2 linked regions of the Struthio camelus genome follow. The protein of the gene in region 2 interacts with the protein of the main gene of each other region in a pairwise test. Links are inferred from orthologs where the notes say so. Each region holds a gene or a part of one and is shown on either strand. Other genes may lie near its edges. The genes, in order: ubiquitin-conjugating enzyme E2 E2 and RNF103.

What was found.
Region 1: the proteins of RNF103 (region 2) and ubiquitin-conjugating enzyme E2 E2 interact in a two-hybrid assay, tested with the Homo sapiens proteins (2 studies listed by BioGRID). The link is inferred for Struthio camelus from reciprocal best matches to the Homo sapiens genes RNF103 and UBE2E2.

The regions. Positions count from the first base shown.
Region 1 is NC_090943.1:43,803,268-43,813,862, reverse strand, and holds the start of ubiquitin-conjugating enzyme E2 E2, read right to left. Parts: upstream 4,127-10,595; 5' UTR 3,763-4,126; intron 1-3,762.
Region 2 is NC_090945.1:80,782,737-80,793,094, reverse strand, and holds the start of RNF103 (E3 ubiquitin-protein ligase RNF103), read left to right. Parts: upstream 1-5,702; 5' UTR 5,703-5,762; coding exon 5,763-5,988; intron 5,989-6,502; exon of another isoform or gene 6,503-6,637; intron 6,638-7,722; coding exon 7,723-7,862; intron 7,863-10,358. UniProt on the Homo sapiens protein: Acts as an E2-dependent E3 ubiquitin-protein ligase, probably involved in the ER-associated protein degradation pathway.

The sequences.
Region 1 (10,595 bases), on a different chromosome or scaffold from region 2:
AAAGTATTTTTATGTGCCTTAAGGAAATAAAGCAAAACAGATTTGTGTCTCACAGAGATGAGATATGTAACTATCTCATCACTATGCCACCAGTTCAAATCTAACACAGTTTGTTAAAAATTGAAAGCTATTACTATCTCAAGACTCTCTGTTATCCCATATGAAATAAATCTATGGGCTCTTTCCAAGACTATAGTGCGAGTTTCCACATTACAAAATCCACATCTTATTTGGCATGCTTGATGGAAACATTAATAGAACCAAAAGGCACTAGCACAGAACTGTTTGTATTTACTAAAACAGCACACCTCTAGAACGGTAAACACATCGGTAGAGGATATAAGGACATTTTCTTCCGATGAATTCTGTTCAAGTGACATCAGGCAACAAAGCCACCAGAGAATACCAGCTACAAGACATTTCAGTATATTTCATAAGTCAAGCTAATGCATTTTTTGCACACTTCTGATACGAGTTAGCTATTTTGATTTTCTTCCTTCATTTTAAGTAACATAATAAACAATATGCCGACAGATGAAGAATTGCAAACCCACTGCTACAGCTGTCGTGACTTCTCTAACTATTCTAATGAAAGGCAGACGTCCATGAAAAACTCTTAGTAAATTAGCAAATATGGTGGCAATGACTGTTAGAAAATTTTACTAAAAGTAAAGTATTTTCTTTAACTCCAAATCTGTACTTTATATAAATATTTTATATGTCTTCCTCTAGAGATTTTAATGAAAGAACCACTTTCACAGCACATAGGCCCAAATGTTACTTGCTTAAACCCATGCACTGCCCATATATCTGGGTCGTTTTCTGATTGAATCAGTCTGAATCAAGAATTTGCTCTTTCATACACAGAGTTTTAAATTGCTGCTAACTTCAACTTGCTTATCCTTCTATCTCATGTACAGAGACCATCACGTTTAATAATAAAACTATTCACCTTGATTATTACGTGTTTTAATACTCTATCAAGAAAAAATAAAAGGATTGCAGGCTCAGATTTAACCATGCTCATTTAATGAATTAAAAAGATCACCATCTTCCTGCATGTAGTTATGGAAAGAGGCAGCAAAGGAAAAGCAGCGTCACATCATTGTCAACAGGGTTATGCTAAAAAGGATACTTTTAAAAAGGCCATAAGCTTTTTTGGTAGAGTTGCATGTAAGAAAACAAATTTACTCCTATCTTGTAAAAGCCTTACCAACATCTGATACTATCAAGTAGTATGCACTTTAGAGTGGAAGAATCAATCTTTTCAGGCATTATTCACATAACTCAATCCAATTGACTTAAGCAGGAATTAAATCTTTCCTGTCTAATTTATGAGGCTACACAGAAAGGAAAGGAAAATCTGGAAGTATGAAATGCATTCAAAATAGTTAAAAGGTTAAAAAAAATAGCAAGTGATGGATGTGGGACTAGGTTATTCTTAATCAACTTACGCTACATTTTGAGGTTCATAAAAGCAGTGTTTTATAAATATATATTCATATATAAATACATGCAAAAGCACAACACCTAGGCTGCTGCATGAACTGAAATAATATATCGTTTGATTTCTAAAATTAAAATATAAAAATTGTTCATTATTAGCAGAACAATTTTCCCTGCAATATAGATACAATATCATATTCACCGTTATTCACATATTTGCACAGGTTAATCTTTAGATATTTATAACCTGGCTGTCAAATGTTATGATGAAAGAAAAAAAAGACTTAGAGACAATAAAAGACAAGAGTAGCATACTTTGATAAGTCATAATATGAATTTAATAACTGTAATGAAAATTGGAAAGCAGGGACCCGCTTCATTTGCTTCTATATGCAGCTAAAATACAAACTGATTGTTTTTATCATGTTTCTGATGGCCTTTATTTACTCTAGATTCTATTTCTGATCTTTGATTAGTGCATCTAATTTTAAACACAAAATTATCTTCACAATGTACCTATCATTTAGCGCTACTGGTCAGAAAGTCAAAAGCGTATTTAATGAAGCCTATATACATAGACATCTGCTGTGAATAATCTTGGCTATAAATATTACTATTATCCAAAAACAACTGTATTCACTTCATAAGTTCAGGTTGCTATCCAGCAGATAAACACTGTAACAGTAGCCCAGAGCATATAATTACTGTAACATGTAATGCCAGCATTTACAACAGGAAAACGCTTAAATCTGTCATTTGACGTCTGGCTAGTTTCTTATTCTTTCTCTCTCACAGCTCTGTGTCTCTCTCTCTCTCCCCATCTCTCTCTGTTCGCCTTTCTGACATCCAGAGACAATTATTTCCATGCCCTCCGCTCCTAATGCCTGCAATTTTAGAAATTTTGCATAGTTAAAGGGATGTTCAATACTGTGAAAAAAGTGTATTTTAACAGCCCTGAAGTCAGACACTTCAGATGTGGCCAAACTTAGAAAACAAGCACATGAACAAATAAAAGAATGGAAAAGAAAAATCAGCTGGGGAATGACACTGTAGGAAAACATTTCCGTGCAATCAGGACAGACAAATGCAAGATATTTCTTGAATCTAGACAGCCGTAAGTGTGTTTGCAACAGTCACACAGAGTAAAAAGAGAAACACGATGTCCAGTTCCCTCGGCTGCCAGACTATTCTACATGTGGAATAGGACAAGGGTTTTTAACCTTCCTGCTGTTGTGCTGAGAAAATTGTGTGTGGTGGGGGGGGAAGGACTTAAAAGTCCTTCCCTTAACATGAGATGATTCAGCATCGACAGAGACTACAACTGTTAAGTACAACTATAAATTCTAAGTGAAGCACGTCCAGAAGACCCTGCTTCTGTCGTATATATCCACTGGCACCTTCCCCTCCCTTCTCAAGAGGAAAAAAAAAAAAAAATCCAGCAGTCAGGGAAAGAGAGATCCTGGCAGCGCGCAGATGGGTCCCAAGGGCAGCAGAGCTAGTGATGATGCCCTTCTAAAGCGGTCTTAATTTCCTATAAGCAAAGATAAATTGAATATTTCTGCAGGGGTCCATGAAGAGACAGGAGCAGCCGCCTTACTTCGTCTTCATTAGAAACCGTAAAGGGCAAGAGGATCACAACACTACAGGGCAGAGAGGGGAGCCCGCTCGCTGCCCGGCCCGGGGCGGCGGGGGCACCGCGGCGGCTGACACGGCCCCGCACACGCACACTCACACGCGCGCACACACACACACACACACACACGCACAACACACGCACAACTCGCCTATTTTCCTCCTGCCCGGAGGGGGAGGGGGCGGCGCATGTCACGGAGACACAATGTGCAGTAACTATGCAGTCCTGGAGGACGGCGTGAGACGGCCACGGGCACTTCCCAAACCTGACACCCGCCCCCGCCGCCCCGCTCCTCCGTGGGGGGGGGGGGGGGAGGGTGCCGCGCGGGGGGAGGAGGAGGAGGAAGAGGAGGCCGCGAGAGGAAGGCGGGGGGGATGTCCGGGGGGGGGGGTGCCCCGGCCCGGGTTGCGGAGCGGGGCCGGGGCGGGGGGAACAGGGGGCCGCTGGCAGACGGGGCAAGTAGCGGGGCCGGCGGAGTTGTGCCTGGGGTGGGGGGGGGGGAATGGCGGCAGCAGGGGAGGGGCGGCGGGGAGATGCTGGGGGGGGGACAGGGGGTGACATGGGGGGGGGTGAGGGCAGAGGTAGGCACCGTGGGAGCGGGCAGGGCCCTGGCGTGGGGGAGGGGAGGCGGACGGGACCGGGATTTGGGTTGGGGGGGGGGGAGCAGGAGGGGTCGCCGCTACCTGCGGGCGAGCGCGGGTCTGCGGCGGCGCCGGGCTCAGGCTGCGGGGCGATGCGAGGCGGGCGCCCCGCGTCCGGCCGGGCGGGGGGCTGCAGGGGGGCTGCGGCCGGTCACTGAGTCATGAGCCCGCTGCGCTCGCCCTTTCTTTCTTTCTTTCTTTCCTTCCTTCTTTCTTTTCTTCTTTCTTCCTTTAATCCCGCCGCCTCTTCCCTCGCTCCCTCAGCAGCAGCGGCGGCCACTGCTGCTGCTGCTCCCACCGCCGCTCCTACCCCTGCTGCCCGGAGAGAAGTGAAGCCGCTGCCGCGCGCGCGCGCGCTCGCGCCGCCGCCGCCGCCTCCGCGCGCGCGCGCGCACTCGCGCGCGCCGCCGCCCGGCTAGCTCCGCGCGCCCGCGCCTGGCAGCCAATTCGCCCCAGCGCTGGCGGTCCGAGGAGGGAGGGAGGGGCGTGCGCGCGCTTGCGGCGGCGGCGGCGGCGGGGGGGGGAGTGACAAGCGAGCGGGGCGGGCGCGTGCCCGCGGGGGCCGGCCGGGCGGGAGGGGGAGGGGGGAGGGCGCCGCCGGCGGGAGCGCGCGTTAAAGGGAAACGCGGGCGGGGCGGGCTAGAGCGGAGCCGGGCAGGGAGGAGGAGTGACAGGATGGGGGGGGGGGGGCGGCGGCCGTTGGCGAGGGGGGGCAGGTTAGCGCTTCTCCCCCCCCCCCCCAATTCCTGCCGCTGGCGTGCCCGCCGCCCCCGAGCAGCTCACGGAGTGAGCGTTAACGGGGTGCGGCGGGGGGGGAGGGGGGGGCAGGCCGTGAGCGGGGGCGGGGAGGCGGCGGCGCCGGCGGGGTTCACTTTCTTAGCTCTTCTTTTGCCCTTTTCGCGTTTCTTTGTTCCCTCGGCTTTCAGCCCCGCGGCTTTGCCTGCTGCGGTGCTGCCAGCCGGGCCCGTGCGGGAGCCCCGCACCACCGCGCTGCCTTTGTCCTCGCCCACCGCCCCCCCCCCCCCCCGGGCGGGGAAGGCCGGTGCCCGGCGGGGGGGGGGGGGGCAGGCGCGGCCGGCGGCCCCCCGGCCGGCAGGGGGGCACCCACGCGTGGCCGGGCAGGGCGCAGCAGCGGCGGCAGGGCCAGACCTGGTACTTTGTTGTCATAGTTAAGTGTTCGCCGTGGTCGTTTTGGCCGCGGATACGCGGCTGGGTGGTACAAACAGCCCGGGGCGGCTGAGAGCAGCCGATGACGTAAAGCATCCCGGCTGGAGATGGGTGCTGCAGCGTGGCTGCGCTCAGGTGAGCGCATCTGGCCTCCCACGCCGGGAGGGAGGCCTTGCCTTACGGAGTGGGAGAGGCCAAGGCAGAGCCACGCTTAGATGTTACCTATTCGGTATTAATGATATTAGCCTGGAACGAAACAAACCCCTGGCAGGGCTGGCTGTGAGGTAACCAGCTCTACCGCCCTAGCTGAAATGCTAGTTCTGCCTAAAACGCTGTACTGGCATTACTTCTTCAAGCTTCGCCTAACATGCAACTGATGCTTAGCTGGGCTGTGCAAATATATTAATTCAAACGTTTCTTCGGCCAGCAGGGAAATACACCCACCCTGGGTAAAGGAGTAATGGCAGGTCATAATGTTTTCCCCTTACTGATGACTGAAGGGAATTAAAAAAAAAATGCATTCATGCTATTCCACATGTACAAGGAAAAGTTTCTCCCCATGTGAGCTGTAAAGTACTGTACTTTTTCTGAGTTGCGGTTATGGTGTAGATGGAGTCCATACTGCTAAACACATGCAAATCAAGAACTTGAACCACTGCTGCGATATTTAAGGATTAGAAACACCATTGCCACCTCTCTCTCATATTATATCCAGACAACAGAAGTTACTTTTGCAGTTTCCATCTACATAAAATTAATCTTTCTCTTTGTTGAGTAATTGCTTTGAAATAACTTGTTTTATTGTGTCTTCCCATTTCCTTATTAAAGTAATCCTAGTCACGTTTTTCACATAGGCTTAAAAACACTGCAGTCGGCTAGTTCTTCCTATTTCACGTGCATTTACAAGATACCTTTTCCTCCTTCTTCTAATGAACTCATGAGGAAAAGCTCCTGATGCTCCAGCTAGGTGGGTTTCTAGCTGCTGGCATGCACTGATTCCTCACAAGGACTAATAACTAGGTAATTAAAAGAATATGATCCATAACAATCTTTTAACGAATGCAAATCTCCTGCAAGTGGTGCTTTGTTATCATGCTGAAGGGGTGCCGGCTGTGTTGCGCGCTCTTGGTATCACAGTCTCCTTTTCCAAAATCACTTAAATCATGCCTTTCTTTGAGGCATTCAGAAACAGACCTCCTGAAAACCATCCAGGAAGCTATGAAATTCACTTCTAAATGAGTCTTCCACCATACTTTCTTAACGTTGTTCTGATTGCTTAGAGGTGCCTTAAAGGAGGCATACGTTTTCCCATCAGAATATCTATCTATTGAAACTCCTTGGCCCGTGTCAGGACTCCGCTTTGGTGGCAGTTCCGTGTGCTTCGTTACAGTTCTTCCCTGCTAGAATCCACAGGAAGCAACAAGAGGGAAGCTCGGTGAATAGACTCCTTTAGAGAGGGATAGGACAGGGCCATAGCATGTCCCAGAATCTGGGTCATAAATTCCTGGTGCCAAAAAAATCAAGGGAGTGCTGAAGTGGAGCACCAAGTGGAGGGTTTGAATCATTGAGAGTCGGGCCCTGATTTTAATTTGGGTGCATAACCTCTGGCCCAAAACCCTAAATGGTACCTTACATTGAGGACAACTAAGCTAGGGAGAAAATTTGTACTGCCTTAATATTCGTACTGTATTTGTACTTAATAATTTTACTGCCTGAACTTGCACACTGAAGCGTGCCTTCTGATTTTTGAAGTGAAGGTCTTGAATGAGCCCTACCTATGTCGTGTAAAGGGAATAGGTCAGGGTAACCAACTGCTCCCAAGTATCAGTTTTATCCTGTCAGCCTTCTGAAATAGTATGTTTAGCCCTCAGATGTTAAAGGTTGCATGATAGTGTGTTACTCAAAATCTTTTTGAAGACTTTTGTTAAGTTTGCATCCCGTATGGTGAAATCCTGGCCCTTTTGAACTTAATGGAAATTTCAACCACGATGGGGTGCTAAGCCACACGTTACACTTTTTTAGAATACTGGACACCTCCGGAACAACTTGAGTTCTTTACTCTCATAAAAGCTTACAGCTTTCTCAGAGAGACACTCAGAGTTAAGATAACCTGGCGCAGGCTGCCACGCTTTATGACTGTTACAGTTAAGGACACTTCCGTTAAGGCCTCTTGGTTCAGCATGCCTGTTACAAGGACATATATGTCAATCAAAATCCATGAAGTTGGAGAAATCTGAGACAAGTTTCCATTTAAGAATGTTTAATTTAAAGATATATCGGATTAATTTAGGTTCCAGTCTTGGAGGTTTCTTCTGCATTTGCATTCATAACTTATCATCTGCTCACATGTAAAATGACACGTCCTTTTAATATTGCTATTTAAGTTTTTAAATGTGCATTGTGGTCAAGTTATAACTGATAACAATTTTGTATATACTTGACATACAAATTGAGGGGATTGGTTTTCTCAAGTAGAGAAAAGACCAGGAAGTATCTCGACTGTGATACAGCTGAAAGCGTTAACAGTAGCTCTCTTGTGATAGCATAATTCACTCTCAAAACTTAAGTATTTCATATTAAAGATTGAGATCAAAAATACTCAATTGTCTGTGGAGCACTCTGTTGTTCTATTCATCTCTTTCAGCCAAATCCTAATGAATCAGATCATTTCATCCCTTCGAGCTATTATCAGCAGAGGACTGGAGGAATGGGGACAAAGGTGTAAAGAACTACCTTATTCCACTTTTCAGCTCAGCAGGGGCTATCCTATCTTGTGTCACTCACCCCATTTCTTCCCTGCTGCTCAGTGTGTTTGATGATTCTTGGGCCCTATCATGCTGTTTTGAGAGCAGCCAATAGCCAGCTATAGCCCTCTCTTTTCCAGTCCTGTCCTCTATCCTGAGAAACTGAGGTGGGAAGGTAGAATAGCATGAATCTCTATAGGAGCTTTATGCTACTAAGGGATTCCTCTCCCATTATTGGCTTTCTTTACACTGCTGTGACAGTACAAAGCCATAAGGATAGTCCAGAGCCTGTATCTGGCCTGTACTGTATTCTCTTTTCCACCTCCCTGCTACTTTTCTTTCTCCTGTGTTCAGTTAGTTCATTCTCACATCATACCTAATTTGTCTTTTTTTCCTACAATCTTGCTTTGCTTTCGTTCCCACTTGGCTGAATCCCACTCTGTTTGTTGGCAAAGGTAAACTGCAATTCACAGAACCCTGCTCTCTGGAGCCCCAAGACACAGCGTTTGAGTGTTTCAGAGATCGAGATTCTTCTTGTTCATTTTGTTTTCCAGCTATCAGCATGTAGTATAAATGGAGTAGCAAGAACAGATTTTGGGAAGGTAGCTGTAGTAGAAATTTCATTAGATTTTTCAGTTAATTGCATATATCTTCATCGCTTAAAAAAAAATCATCCTGTATTAAGGAAAAATGATTGAATCCTGAACACTGGGTAAGCCTATTACTTAGATAGTACCTTGACAGAAATCTGTTTAAAGTATTTTCATGGCATTCTGAAGTAAAATAATTGTGTGGGCACAGAGACTAGCCTGACTTCTTTATTTGCCCTACAATAGTGAAAACCCCCAAATAATTAGAATTCATCCACCCTAATCTTTCCAAGCCGTTAAATAGGAAAAGAGTTGTAAGGCCTGATGCAAACAATTTAAGGTCTCCTTCATTCTACTCTCACCTAAAAAAATAATAATCCGCAGCTCCTCCTCCTCCCCTTTGCTCAGAAGCAGGATAGCTCCCACTATCATTCCACTGGAACCAGAAGAAACAACTGGGACAATAACTATGTGGCATCAGAGCTCCTCGTGGTTCTCAGGCACTTCACTAGCCAGGATTCCAAAGAATGAAGATAAAACATATTAGGGATAGGTAGGAGGGAAGTAATAACTTTCTTCAGTGTTCTTAATGAAAGCCTAGCTTTTTCTTTAAGTTAGGGAATAAATCACTGCTTAGTGTCAGAAAAAGAGATTTGTTTTTATTTGCTGGTTTAGAGCCCAACTTAAGATAATTGCAAAGGATAATTCTCTGATAGTTTCTAGACAGAAATTGTTAACCACTGAGTCCTAGACTAAGGCACTGCTTTAAAAATCTCATCTTGTATGTGCTGAAGGGTGAAATCTTTTATTTCCAAAGCTATTGTAAGGCAGTGACCTGTAACTGGAAGAATTCCCTGCATTGCCTGTCTTAATTCATCACCATAGGTGGGAGACAATGTTGAAAAGTGAAGGTAAGTTAGAAAAGAAAGTTGGGATTTTTTTTTAGTGTTATTTCCACCCTCTTTTCAGCACTTCCACATTCCTATTATTTTCTTTTGGTTCTGTAACACCTTAATTTACAGGATCAGGGCTCTTTATACTAAAGATGGGCAAAATTCGGAGGATCTCTTTGTGATTCTGCATAGAAAGTTACATCTTTACACAGAAAGAGACAGCTGTGGATACTCATGCCCCCTTTTAATAAAGTTAAGGTTCCAGGAGATATGGCCTAACCTCCTCTATGGTTAATGCATGATTAATGCACCCTTCAGGAGTGCCTCCTTAAGGTGGCTAGTACATCCACCATAGCAAAACAAACCCCATATAGTAGGGTTGTTCAATCCTTTCAATCTCGACGACCAAATATATTTCAGAAGCCCAAGGAACCGCAGTCAGTCTGAAGCAGATTGTCTGCCTTGTGGAGAGTGGAAACAACCCACATGTCCTCTGCTGGGGATTCCCCAGGCGAAATGGAAGTCCCCCGCAGCCGTAAGCCAGGCTAGTCATGTTTTGCACTTCTTTCCTGAAGATCCTGGCCAAGGGGCTTGGTTTAGGCTGTACCTGGAAGGAATAAAGGGGCATGTCTGCAGTGTGATAAACCTAAATTATCCTTTCTGGCTGATGGTCAGTTGCACACTACCCAAATAATGCCGATTAAGCAGCTGCTAGGGGCAAAGTCCAGAGAGAAGCACAGGATGAAAAAAATATCTTTGGTCTCTTCCTGCGTCAGTGGTAACTGTCACAGGGAATAAATGACATCTTTTGTCTATAGGCCTAGCTAGAGCCTGACAAACTCCAGTCCACTCTTCCCTGAGCTCCTCCTGCAGACGCTCAGGGAGCAGGAAACAGAACAGCCAGTGCTCATCTTCCTCTCTCACCTGCAACAAAGCAAGCAAACAGCAGAGGCAGCAACTTCAGGGAAGGGGCAGGCACTCTTAATTACACTGGAACTGTTCCTAAGGCTGCAGACAAAGTCATGGGGAGGCAGTGGGGAGGATACAGGTTGAGCACACACTTAATCTAAAAAAAGATGCAAGGCACAGCACAGGGACACATACCTACTTCATAATTAAGCAGACTTTGCCCTTGAATATCAGTGCCACAATTCAGAGCCCTGAGCAGCACAAGTGGGTTGTTGGCCATTGTTAGACTCAGCTCGTCTCAGCCACACAAGCATAGCTCAAACTTGTTCTATTACTGGAAGCTTAAACAGATATGAGCCAATCATCAAACATGAGTCTAAGCTTGGCTGCTTTACTATGATCCTAAAATAAAAAGAGGGATCATGCACGTCACATGGGCTCCAGCAAATGCAGTTGGAAAGATATTGCGATGTTTCTGTTTGCAAAGATTTTGCACGTGGATATAGTAAGTGGTATCAGGGAACATAAAAACACCTGTTTTTAAAGCCAGGTAAAAATCCCTGTATTTTTAA
Region 2 (10,358 bases):
CGCGGGGCGGGCGCTGAGAATAACAGTCTAGGGCGAGGGGGGTCCTCAAAGTGCCGTGTTACGACTCAGGCAGTAAGGTAGGCAGCTAAGAGCGGGGTCCTGCGGGTGCCGTTGCCATGGTGACAGGCGCGGCCCGCGGGGCCCTGATGTGCGGCCCAGACCGGGCCGCACCGGCGGCTCCTCGGGCCGTGGCGGAGGGGGCCGAGGGGTCTCCTGCGCCGTGGGGCGCCGCCGGCTGGGGCTGGTCCCTTAGGTGTAACTTAGCCCCCGTGCTGAGGTGAAAATCGCCGGGCAGCAGCCCGTCGCGGCGGGAGCGGAGCTCCGCGGGGGCCGGGGGCAAGGCCCTTCCCCACCGCCCCCAGCCTTGCACTGCTACGTACCGCCGAGAGGCTTGGAGCGGGGTCAGTGCTTCATTAACAATCCTGGCGGGCCGGAAACGGAGGATTTAGGCTGTCATTAGGGCACTAGCTTGGCCAGCAAACTTCCTCTTGAGTGTTGAGTCTCGTGGGTTAAAGTCCTGCAGCCGACTGATGAGCGCGGTTGAAAGAGATGCATGCCCCTGTTTGCTTGAGTATCGCTTGGTTGGCGTACTTGTGGCAACTTCAGTGTTTGGAAAGTGTAGCACAAACCAGACCGTGGCCCCACGGTTTCTGTAGCGCAGTACATCAAAACCTCCTGCTCAACTAGACAAAACTACCTGCAAAAACAGCACTTGGTCTGAGCCTGGAGTGATGTTGTGTCGTCTGTGCCCGTGTAAAGTACTGCTGAAATAGGATAAGAAAATAGAGAAATCTGTATTCTCTTGCAAGAGCACGTGATTTGTGTAGATGCCTACAAGTGGCTGTCATTCTGTTGGATTCAGACCAAGACTGCTGCCCTTGTTTGTAGTCTTATTCTTTATGTAACCATATGTGATGTTTAAAGCCATGCAAATATCATCTTGGGTTTTATGTCATTAGCATGCTGGTTTGATTTGTTACGTTCTTCACCACTGTATTCTCCTTTGTCTTCTGTTAGCATAGGCAAGCAAGTTCACTTTTTTTTTTTTTGTCATTAAACAAAACCTATGTCTTTTGCAGGGAGCAGTAAATGGATTCTCACTGTTAGAAAAAAGAAAATATTACCTGCTTCAAAAAAAATGATCCTTTATTTCAAGATTTAATTAATCCATTTTGCTCCTGTATATTGGTTTGGCCTTGATACGTGTTCAGTTTCTGTGACATTGACTACTGCGTATTTGAAGGCAAGGGAACTTGCCACGGGACGGGGAAGAGTGACTCTCAGCTACAACTAATAAAATGCTTGACTAGATAAAGCTTTGAGCAACCTGGTCTGGTGACATAGCTGGCCCTGCTTTTTGAGCAGGCGGCTGGACTGCGTGACCTCCTGGCATCCCTTCCATCCTGAATTATTCTATGATTCATTACTAGATCATGTAAGGAGTGCCTCATTTAAATAGCTAGTGCTTTAGTTGAGCTGTCAAATCTTGGCCATCATGCTGCAAAATAACATCTACGTGTTAAATCTGTGTCCTTTTGGCCACTTGTAGATAATAGGAAACACCTTACAGTTTCTCCACATGTAATAAAATAGTGTTATTTGGCTGCTGCCATTTTGCTTTGAGACTCTCACACGCACTTACTGGCTGTTTTGAATAATATCAGTTAATGACAAGTAGGCAGGGTGTCATATAATGTATACAATTTGTGGCAATGCACCTATATTGTAGAAAAAGTACATCAAGGGATAGTATGTGAGTGAGCTCCTAACAATTACACTTACAGAGCAGGCTGACTCTTAGGAAAACTGGTTTCAGATAGTCTAAATGTTAGTTTGCTCAAATTTATCTTGTTGTATGTCAATATTAAAACCGTGCAAGAAGAGGGTATGATAGTATTTAACTTGGCAAGGGATTTAACTTGGTAAGGGACTGACTTACAATTTTCAGTTTCAATGTTATGGACTTCAAAATGACAGCCCTTCTTTCAGTGTTCCCTGTATAAGACTGAGTCTAGGAAGTGGATTATTGCCTGTATTTCCAGGCTGCGGAGTCAGCAACTGCCCGTCAGGAAGGATGGGGGAGGAGAGGGAATCCTTGCCATTTATCAAGGGGCAGCTGAGGCTTCAAATTTGGCCCTCTGACAAGAAAAGATGGTTGTCCCATTTCTCAGGATTTGGTCTCGTTCTCTGGTAAATCATAGTAAAATATTTTTGCTGCCAAGATTGTTTAAAAGCAAATCCCTGCTTCAGGTTTATGTTTAAGGGTAGGACTTACATACTTCATTCTCTTCACGTTTGTAAGACTGCTCTATGAGCATCGGACTGACTGTCTGATGGCTGTTTAATATCGTTAATTAGGTTGAGTTAACACTGGGGTCTTTAAAAATGTCAGCATCTTTCTTGTTTGCCTTCAGCCCAAATGAGTTTTCAATTCACTGTTCTCTGCATTTCCAGATAATTAAAATCCCTGAAAACGTGTTTGCAGCTGACACGTCAAAGACATTCGGAGTTCCAGCTAGAAACCAAGAAATGCCGGTTGCGTCTAGAACATCATGGCCAGTTCAGGTGGGGTCAGTTTAATAAGTCAGGGATGCGAAGGTGGGGAGAAAAAAGAGGATGAGAGAGTCTGGGAGAGGAGAATTGTTTTAGGAGGTCTTTCTCACTGTACTCAAATATGAGTCCGAGGAAGAAAATCCAAGCCTCTGTTAATATGTCAACATTTTCTGGTTTGTTTGAGCAGAGCCCTCAGTGCTGTGGGAAAGTCTCCTAGGCACCAGTGTTTTAGCACAGAGGCCCCAGGTCTGCTGCTCAGCTTTCCTAGCAATAATCCTTTTCTCTTCCAGGCTTTTGGTTAACTCACCTGCAGTGGCCAGTTCCTGGTCATACCAGTGCCCAGTATGCTTTCCATTTGCGGCTGTGCCCCTATTCATCATTGCTTTCTGTTGCCCCTTTGCCTCTGTGTTCATAGCTGCTTTGCTTTTGGTTGTTTGGGGGGCTTTTGAACAGTGGTTTGAAACATACTTTTTACTTTCTTGAAGTTACTCCAGGGTTTTGAGTTTTGGCAGATGATTAGCTTAGTATCTGCAGGGGACTCATCATCACTTACCACTGGGGAATGTTAGGAACTGATTTAACTCAGCCCATGAGCATTAGGAAATGACATATTGGTGACAGCCTCCCCAGCAGTTGGTGTTGCAAATAATTTTGCTGTGAGTGTAGACTATTAATTGTTGCTAGGTGCTTTCCAGCTGGAGGAAGCCAGACTATCACTAAGCACAGCACACAGCCTGAAGCAATAAGGGGAAGGAGGGGATACAACAAAGTGATTGGGTGGAGAAGGGTCTACAGCTTCTCGTGTTAAAAACAAAATGCTTTTTTTCTTTTTTAACTCAACACACAAAGTTTCTCTGCAAACATTTAACTCCGTATCTTCCTCCCACCCAGCACTCCACTTATTCTTGAGCTGCTCACTTGAAACAAAAAGTACAGAAATCAGGCAGCTTCTTGTGTGTGTCACAGAAGAAAGGGGTCTTCATGAAGCTTTTAGAAGAGAAGAAAAATGTGGTTTTCTTGGTGTGTTTTCAATACTTGAGAGCCTTCCTTTGGTCCTAGCGACAGGTGATGTTGAGTGTGCTTTTTATTGAAAGTACTTTGGCTCTTCGAACAGTAAGAACAAAACCGTTCTCAGTTTTGTTTTGGCCAAGGGGAAAGGATTAATCCTAGTGAGGTGGCCGCTTTCATATTAGGGAGATGGCCACTTACTCCGTTGAAGAGGGAGCTTATGCAGCTTTAATGTACTATGAAGGAGGAGGCAGCGCTTCAGCCCTGTCCTCCCACAAGCTCTTCCTGTCGACTGTTCCTCCAGTACGTTGTCCTCACGCTGCACTTCCCACAAGAGGCTCGCTTCAAATCAGAGTGAACTGATGAAATCAGTTTGCATTTAATTAAGCAGCATCAGCAGAGCTGGGTTTTGCAGTCCACCCTCTCCGCCTTTAATTTTTACTGCACCACATAAAAAAGGTATGGAGAATAAGGGTTGAGATAGCTCCTGATATGAGGCACAAAATTTACACGCCCCCAAGGGCTTGGTTGGTGGGCAGCTGCTTCTACAATCTCTCTCCTCTTCCACTTTCCAGAAAACAAACTGCACTGGGTCCGTTGCAGAAGAAAATAGCGTCCCGAATTTTCCTCTTGAAGAGGCAACGGCTGTGCACGAACGTGCAATACCAGGCAGGCTGAACCTGCATCCCACTCTGCCCAAATCTTAGGCTGGATAGGTTAGGGCACGGAAAGACAAAGGGAAAGGATAGAGTTCTTATTCCTCTTCTAGAACTGTTGACATTTTGCCTTTTTTTTTTTTTCCTTTTCTTTAAATCATACCACCCTATAAATGTGTTTAACAGTTCTGAGGAGTTTGGCTATGTAAATGCTTTCTCTCTCCAGGTCAATTTTAATGTTATCTTTTAAAAATGTGATTTTTATACCCTGGTGCGGAATTACTTAAGCCCGTACACTCTGTGGGGTTGTCAGTGTTTTGAAAATTAAGCTGTGCTATTTTTGCAGTCATGTGTATGAGTTGGTAATTTTCATGCAAATCACGGTGTCTTAAAATAACCCAACATACAGAAGAAACGTCGAGTTTCCTTCAGAGGAGAGCCTTCAGCTCAAAGTTTGAATTTTAGTACCTGTTTCGAAGCAGGCCAAACGGAGTCTTTACAGCCGCCTTAGACGGACCAGGACTATGTGCAGAGCGCTTAAGCAAGGCTCCATGCTGCATTTACAATTGCTTCAGCGTTGAAGAATAAAAACAATTTTGAAATGGTTTTCAGAAGCTGCGGTGCGGGTTTCTTGGTTGCCTTCTCCTCGGGCAGTTCAAGCTGCTTTTCAAGTTTGTGAGCACCACGGCGAAGCTGCAGAATTTGCCTCTCGCTCCCGTGCAGCCGAGTTTCACTGTCTCACTTACTGCAGCAGCAACCGACAGCTCCCGGCCGGCCGGGAGCCCCGTCGCGGAGAACCGCCGAGAGAGGGGCTAATCCCCCCCGCGAACAGCTTGCCATCACCCTCCCAGTCAACTGTTTCCATTCGGTTGTCTTAAAACTGTCCAAACACATCCGCTCCGTTTAGACTGAGTAAATATTTTTTCTGCTGATGAAAAAATGCCAGTCTGGGTTTTCCGTTTCCCAGCTAGCAGATCTAGCATCCCTAGACAGATAGACAGACGAAATCTGTATTTTATCTATATAATCTATATTTTAGGTATATATATTTTATGTATACATGGATATGTATTTTTTTAAGTAACCACAGCACGGGTTAAGGCGAGCAGGCGTTACCTGCGAGCTGCTTTATCCCGTCACTGATTTATTGGGGGGGGGGGGATTTGGATTTATTATGGGGTTTATTATTATTTGTTATTGGATTTGGGAGGGAGCGGGGAGGGGGGGGGGGTCACATCGCTCGCGCGTCCTCGGCCAAGGGGTGTTGGGGGTGAGGGGGGGGGGATGTTTTGTGGTGGTTTCGCTCGAGGCGGCGGTGCTGAATCACGGCGGGGGGAGGCGTCGCCGTGAGGCCGGGCGCCCCCTGCCGCCCTCGGCGCCTCGCTCGGTGGCGGGGCGGCCCCGGGGAGGCGGAGCGGAGCGGGGCGGGCAGCGGGGGCCCCGGCCGCCGCCTCTCCGCCTCCTCCCTCCCTCCCTGGGCGCTGCCGCAGGCGCGGCCCCCCCCGCCCGCCCCGCGCAGCGCCGGCGGCGGCCGCCGCGGGGAAGATGTGGCTGAAGCTGCTCTTCCTGCTGCTCTATTTCCTGGCGCTCTTCGCCCTGGCGCGGGTGTTGGAGGCGGCGGCGTGGTACGAGACGGGTTTCTTCGCCACGCAGCTGGTGGACCCGGTGGCGCTGAGCTTCCGGAAGCTGCGGACCATCCTGGAGGGCCGCGGGCTGGGCTACGCGGGGCTGCCCGAGAAGAAGGATGTGCGGGAGCTGGTGGAGAAGTCAGGTAGCTGCCGGGGTGGGGAGGCGGCGGTGGGGCCGGGCTGCCCCGGCCCCTTCCTTCCCCCTCCCCAACGGGGGCCGCCGGGGGAAGGGGAGGCGGGAGGTTTGGAGGGGCGCCGCCGAGCCCGACAGGCGAGGCTGGGCCGGGTGCCCCTGCGCCCCTCTTGCCGCCGCGGGTTGCGCCGTCCGGGCCAGGGCCGAGGAAGGCGGTGGGTTTGGAGAACGAGGCGCAAGAAGTAGAGGCCGCAGGCCGAGGATGGCCCCGAGGGAAGGGAATTAGGCTGGAAAAAACCCACGCGGAAAGGCGAGGGGGTGTTTGGGGAGGGGGAGGCCCGAGGGAGCGGCGAAGGACGGGGAGCGGCGGAGGTCGCGGACGGAGGTCGCGGACGGTCTCGCAGGAAAGGACGAGAGGGCCTGCAGCAGCGGGCCGGAGAGGGAGCGGGCGTAAATCATCCCCGCAGCGCCGGTGTCATCGCTGCTCTCAAATTAACAGCCATCGATCTGAGAGAGAGAGACGTCGTGGCCGGCCAGACGGACAGCACCGAGGCACCGACCTACGCCGGCTTCGAGACGCTCTCGCTCTCCTTACTAACTCCTGTGCACGCTGGGCGTCTGAGATCTCGTTTGCTCCCGTGGTTTCATCGCTTGTTTAGGTGGTTTGTCGGCTTTGCCGCTTGGAAAGCCCACGGGGCGATTTCACTCTTGCTTCCGGCCGCTCTGGCTCGTCGGGCGCTTCCGTGGTGTCGTCGTGTTGGGGTTGCGAATGCCGCAGGGAAGCGTTTGACTCCAAACGGACCGTGCTAACCGACTTCTTAAAATGCCATGGAAACGCTTTTAATACCAACAGGCTTTGCAGGATTTTTTCCGTAATTTTTTTTTTTTTTTCCCCTACGTTGTATCGATAGCTTTGGGAGCGCCCCGAGGGGTTTCAGCGGTAACGCTTTTTTTTTTTTTTTTTTTGGCTTTTCGTTTGGTAAGAAACAGCCTCTTTGGACAGCACTTCGTTTCTCCAAACTGAATGAGTTGCTTGTCAAAACGCAAGTTGTTACTAACAGTGTTTGTAAAGACTGTGAAACAACACATGAGAGGGAAACGAGATTACAGAGGAAATGCTATGAAAATGCTTTCCCGTGAGTTACTTGCGTTGCTAGGACTGGAGATCTTGGAAGCTTTTTCGTACTTAGCAGACAAAACCCAGCCGCTAACCTGGTCTACGTTAGATTTTTGCTTACAGTGGGATAATCAACATGTTTTGGGGTGCAACAGTATTGACCAGAATTCTGGAAATCCGCTTGAATTATCAGCGTTAACAATTCGTGTGCGCTGTAAAAATACCATCCTGCGAAATAGAAGTGAAGATACCTAAATTAAACTGCTGTCTGCCATTGAAATATTGCTATTCTCAGATAGTGAGGCTCAGGTGTGCCTTAACTTTTTTTGCGTGTTTGGTTGCATGTATATGGTACCTCTGTGTAATGAGAATATATTGCTAATGCCCTCTGTGGTCTGACAGCTGACGTCAAATTGTTTGTAGTCATGTCGCTACACACAGAACTGAAATAAGTTTGCAATAAAGTTCAGTTGCCTTCATGCTGAAAAAGTCCTGTAAGCAGCCACACAAAATATATTTAATGAAATTGCCACTCTCAGAAAAACAATTGGCATTACTATCAGAATTTTGTCATGATCTTTCTCAAGTGTCATTTAGACTGTATTTCTCTTACTGTCTCTTTTTCAGGAGACCTCATGGAAGGAGAGCTTTATTCTGCTCTCAAGGAGGAAGAGGCCTCTGAATCAGTTTCAAGTACAAACTTCAGTGGGGAAATGCACTTCTATGAGCTTGTGGAAGACACAAAAGATGGGATCTGGCTGGTACAGGTATAGAAATTGTACAAGTTATTTGTTTATATTTATCATATTCAAAATATGTTTCAAAGGAGGCATTTATGAGGGTAGTTATGTAGTAGGAAGAGCGTGAGATCTAAGGAGCAACTCTGTTCAAAAAAGCAGGCAAGGCTAGAAATGACGGCGTTCCTGCGCGGGCAGGAGTAACACCTGTTATTGTGTGGATTGCTCTTTGAAAACCAGGCGCTTTACAACCAGAAGTGGGCATAGCAGCACATACTTAAGAATATGGTCTGCACAATATGGCCCTGATAGCGTCAGAGCTTGTGTTTTGTGTGTCAAGTGGGTGTGTTAAGTATTTGTGCTCCCAGCTGGCCTAGGAGAGGTGCCTCTGGTCTTGCTCTTACCTTGCGGTTGCTCCATGCGTTCCGTGCTCAGACCCAACCGGTTTAAGCTTCCATTTATCTAAGGGGCTTAGAGCAATTCTACAATCTCTGTTCTCCCTTCAGAGAGGCAAGATCTCAGTGTATTCCTTTCAGGGCTGTCAGGCTGATCCCACAACGTATTCCAGCAGCTTAAAGCTTACCTTTCTCCAAACGTTGTGGCCGCGTTGATTTTTAGCATGCTTCCCCAAGGATGCATGAGAATAAGTACATTTTGGGGGAGGGGGGAAAGACTTCTGCAAAAAGGATTCTGAAATAATTTGTCTTCACTCTTTAGAACGTGAGATAGTAATCTAGACAAAAAGGTAAAAAATGCTTTTCTGCATCAGTTTCTCCATTGATAAGAGATTTTATTTTTAGGTGCAAGTTCCCCCCTGCTAGCAGCTACACTGGGCAATCAGAATTCTTCACCAGACAATTCACTGTTTCGTTGACAGCTCTCTCCTGGACGAAATGCTTTGTCTGGTCTCCTCACTTCATGTTTTCTATTTAAGTAGAAGATTATCAAGATTTAAAGACTTTCTGTTATTAGACCTGCACTCTCACCACATCAGCTTTGACCCTAAAATAGACAACGAGAGGACAGATTACCTTCATAGTCCAAATAGCATTTGTATTTCGGGAGAGGTTTATTTAGTGCTCATTGAATCCAAGTTTCAGGTTTAAATCGTGCAGAAGGAGATTCTTCAACTGGAGAGCGAGCATTGAAAGGATGTTTACTTAACATCTCCAAGGCAGCTGATAAATACATGCATGAATATACTGTGAAAAATCTTCTCTCCTCCCCATGCAATTCAAAAGAATAAAATATGGTAGCGATATGTTGTTGGTAGCTTCCGGAATTTTAATCATAATACATTTTCAGCTAGTTTCATAACAGGAGATCAAATAGGCTGCATTTTTGATATCTCCTAGTGTGATGAATGTTGTCATCATTTTGGGAATATTTGAACAGCTATTCAGTTGGTCACAATATCTGTGAAAAAAATTTGAGTGGAATTTACTGAACAATTTACTCGCTGAATGCTGTTTGTCTGGTTCTCCATGGTAAAATATATGCTAGAAATGTCATATTTCTTTTTTTTCATCCTTGCCTTCACTCCAGTTTTCATCACTTTGAGTTTTCATTAGTTCCTTTTCTCTTCCTTCCCCTCCCTGCTCCTCTCCTGCACCGTATTCTTCATGTTCGTGTGCAGATTTCACCTTGCTGTTTTGTTATTCCTCTTTCCTCTAAAGCTTCTTCTAACCATCACTTCCCTGTTCTAGTTCCTTCTTACTCTCCCTTGCTCAGCCTGCCTTATCATTAGGCACGCCTTGGAAACTTTTGCATTGACTCGATGCAGGAGATAATATCAGAGTGAGGATGCCTTGTGCATAGATTCAGTGACCGTAATGAAGGAGAGAGCATTCCCTTGCTCTCCTGTTGCTGCTGGCTGGGAAGCAGAAAGGCGCTCCAGGTCCTTCAGGATCCTTGACCCTGCATTTCTCTTCCACACTGGCTGCTGGACAGCAGTAGAGGAAAAGGAGCAGTTCTGGCTCAGCTGACGCGGTGGTTGTTGCCTGAGGTGGTTTCGAAGGCTTTATGATGATGTATCAGGAGACAGGAACTCTGAAGATGGTTTTTATTTTCTAGTGATTCTTTCCAAGGCATGTAAAAGAAATTTCTAGGTGGCACAGGCCAGTAATGTGATCGCAAACCCTATCTGCAGAGAATCAGAAGATAAAGAGGAAACAGCTGTTATTTCTTGATATATTTGACACAAATTCAGAAGTGAATTTATCATTTAGAGCCGGCAAAATGAATTTCTTGAAGAAAGTCAAAGTCCGTGCATGAGGAAACAAAGTGTTTTGTGGCTGTGTTCCTTTATTTTCTGGAAACCTGCCTGGAAAACGTCCAGATTCAGTGTAATTTGTTTATCAGTGTAGCTGCTCACAAATGCCCTATGCTCCTAGACAGAGCTTCCATATAGCCACAGGCAGCAGCATGTTCTCTCTCCCATTAGCTCATGATCTCATCACCTTTCCTTTTATGCCTTGCTTGCTGGCTGCTGTTGTGGTGCCTCTTTGGCAGGTGAGGAAGATGAGA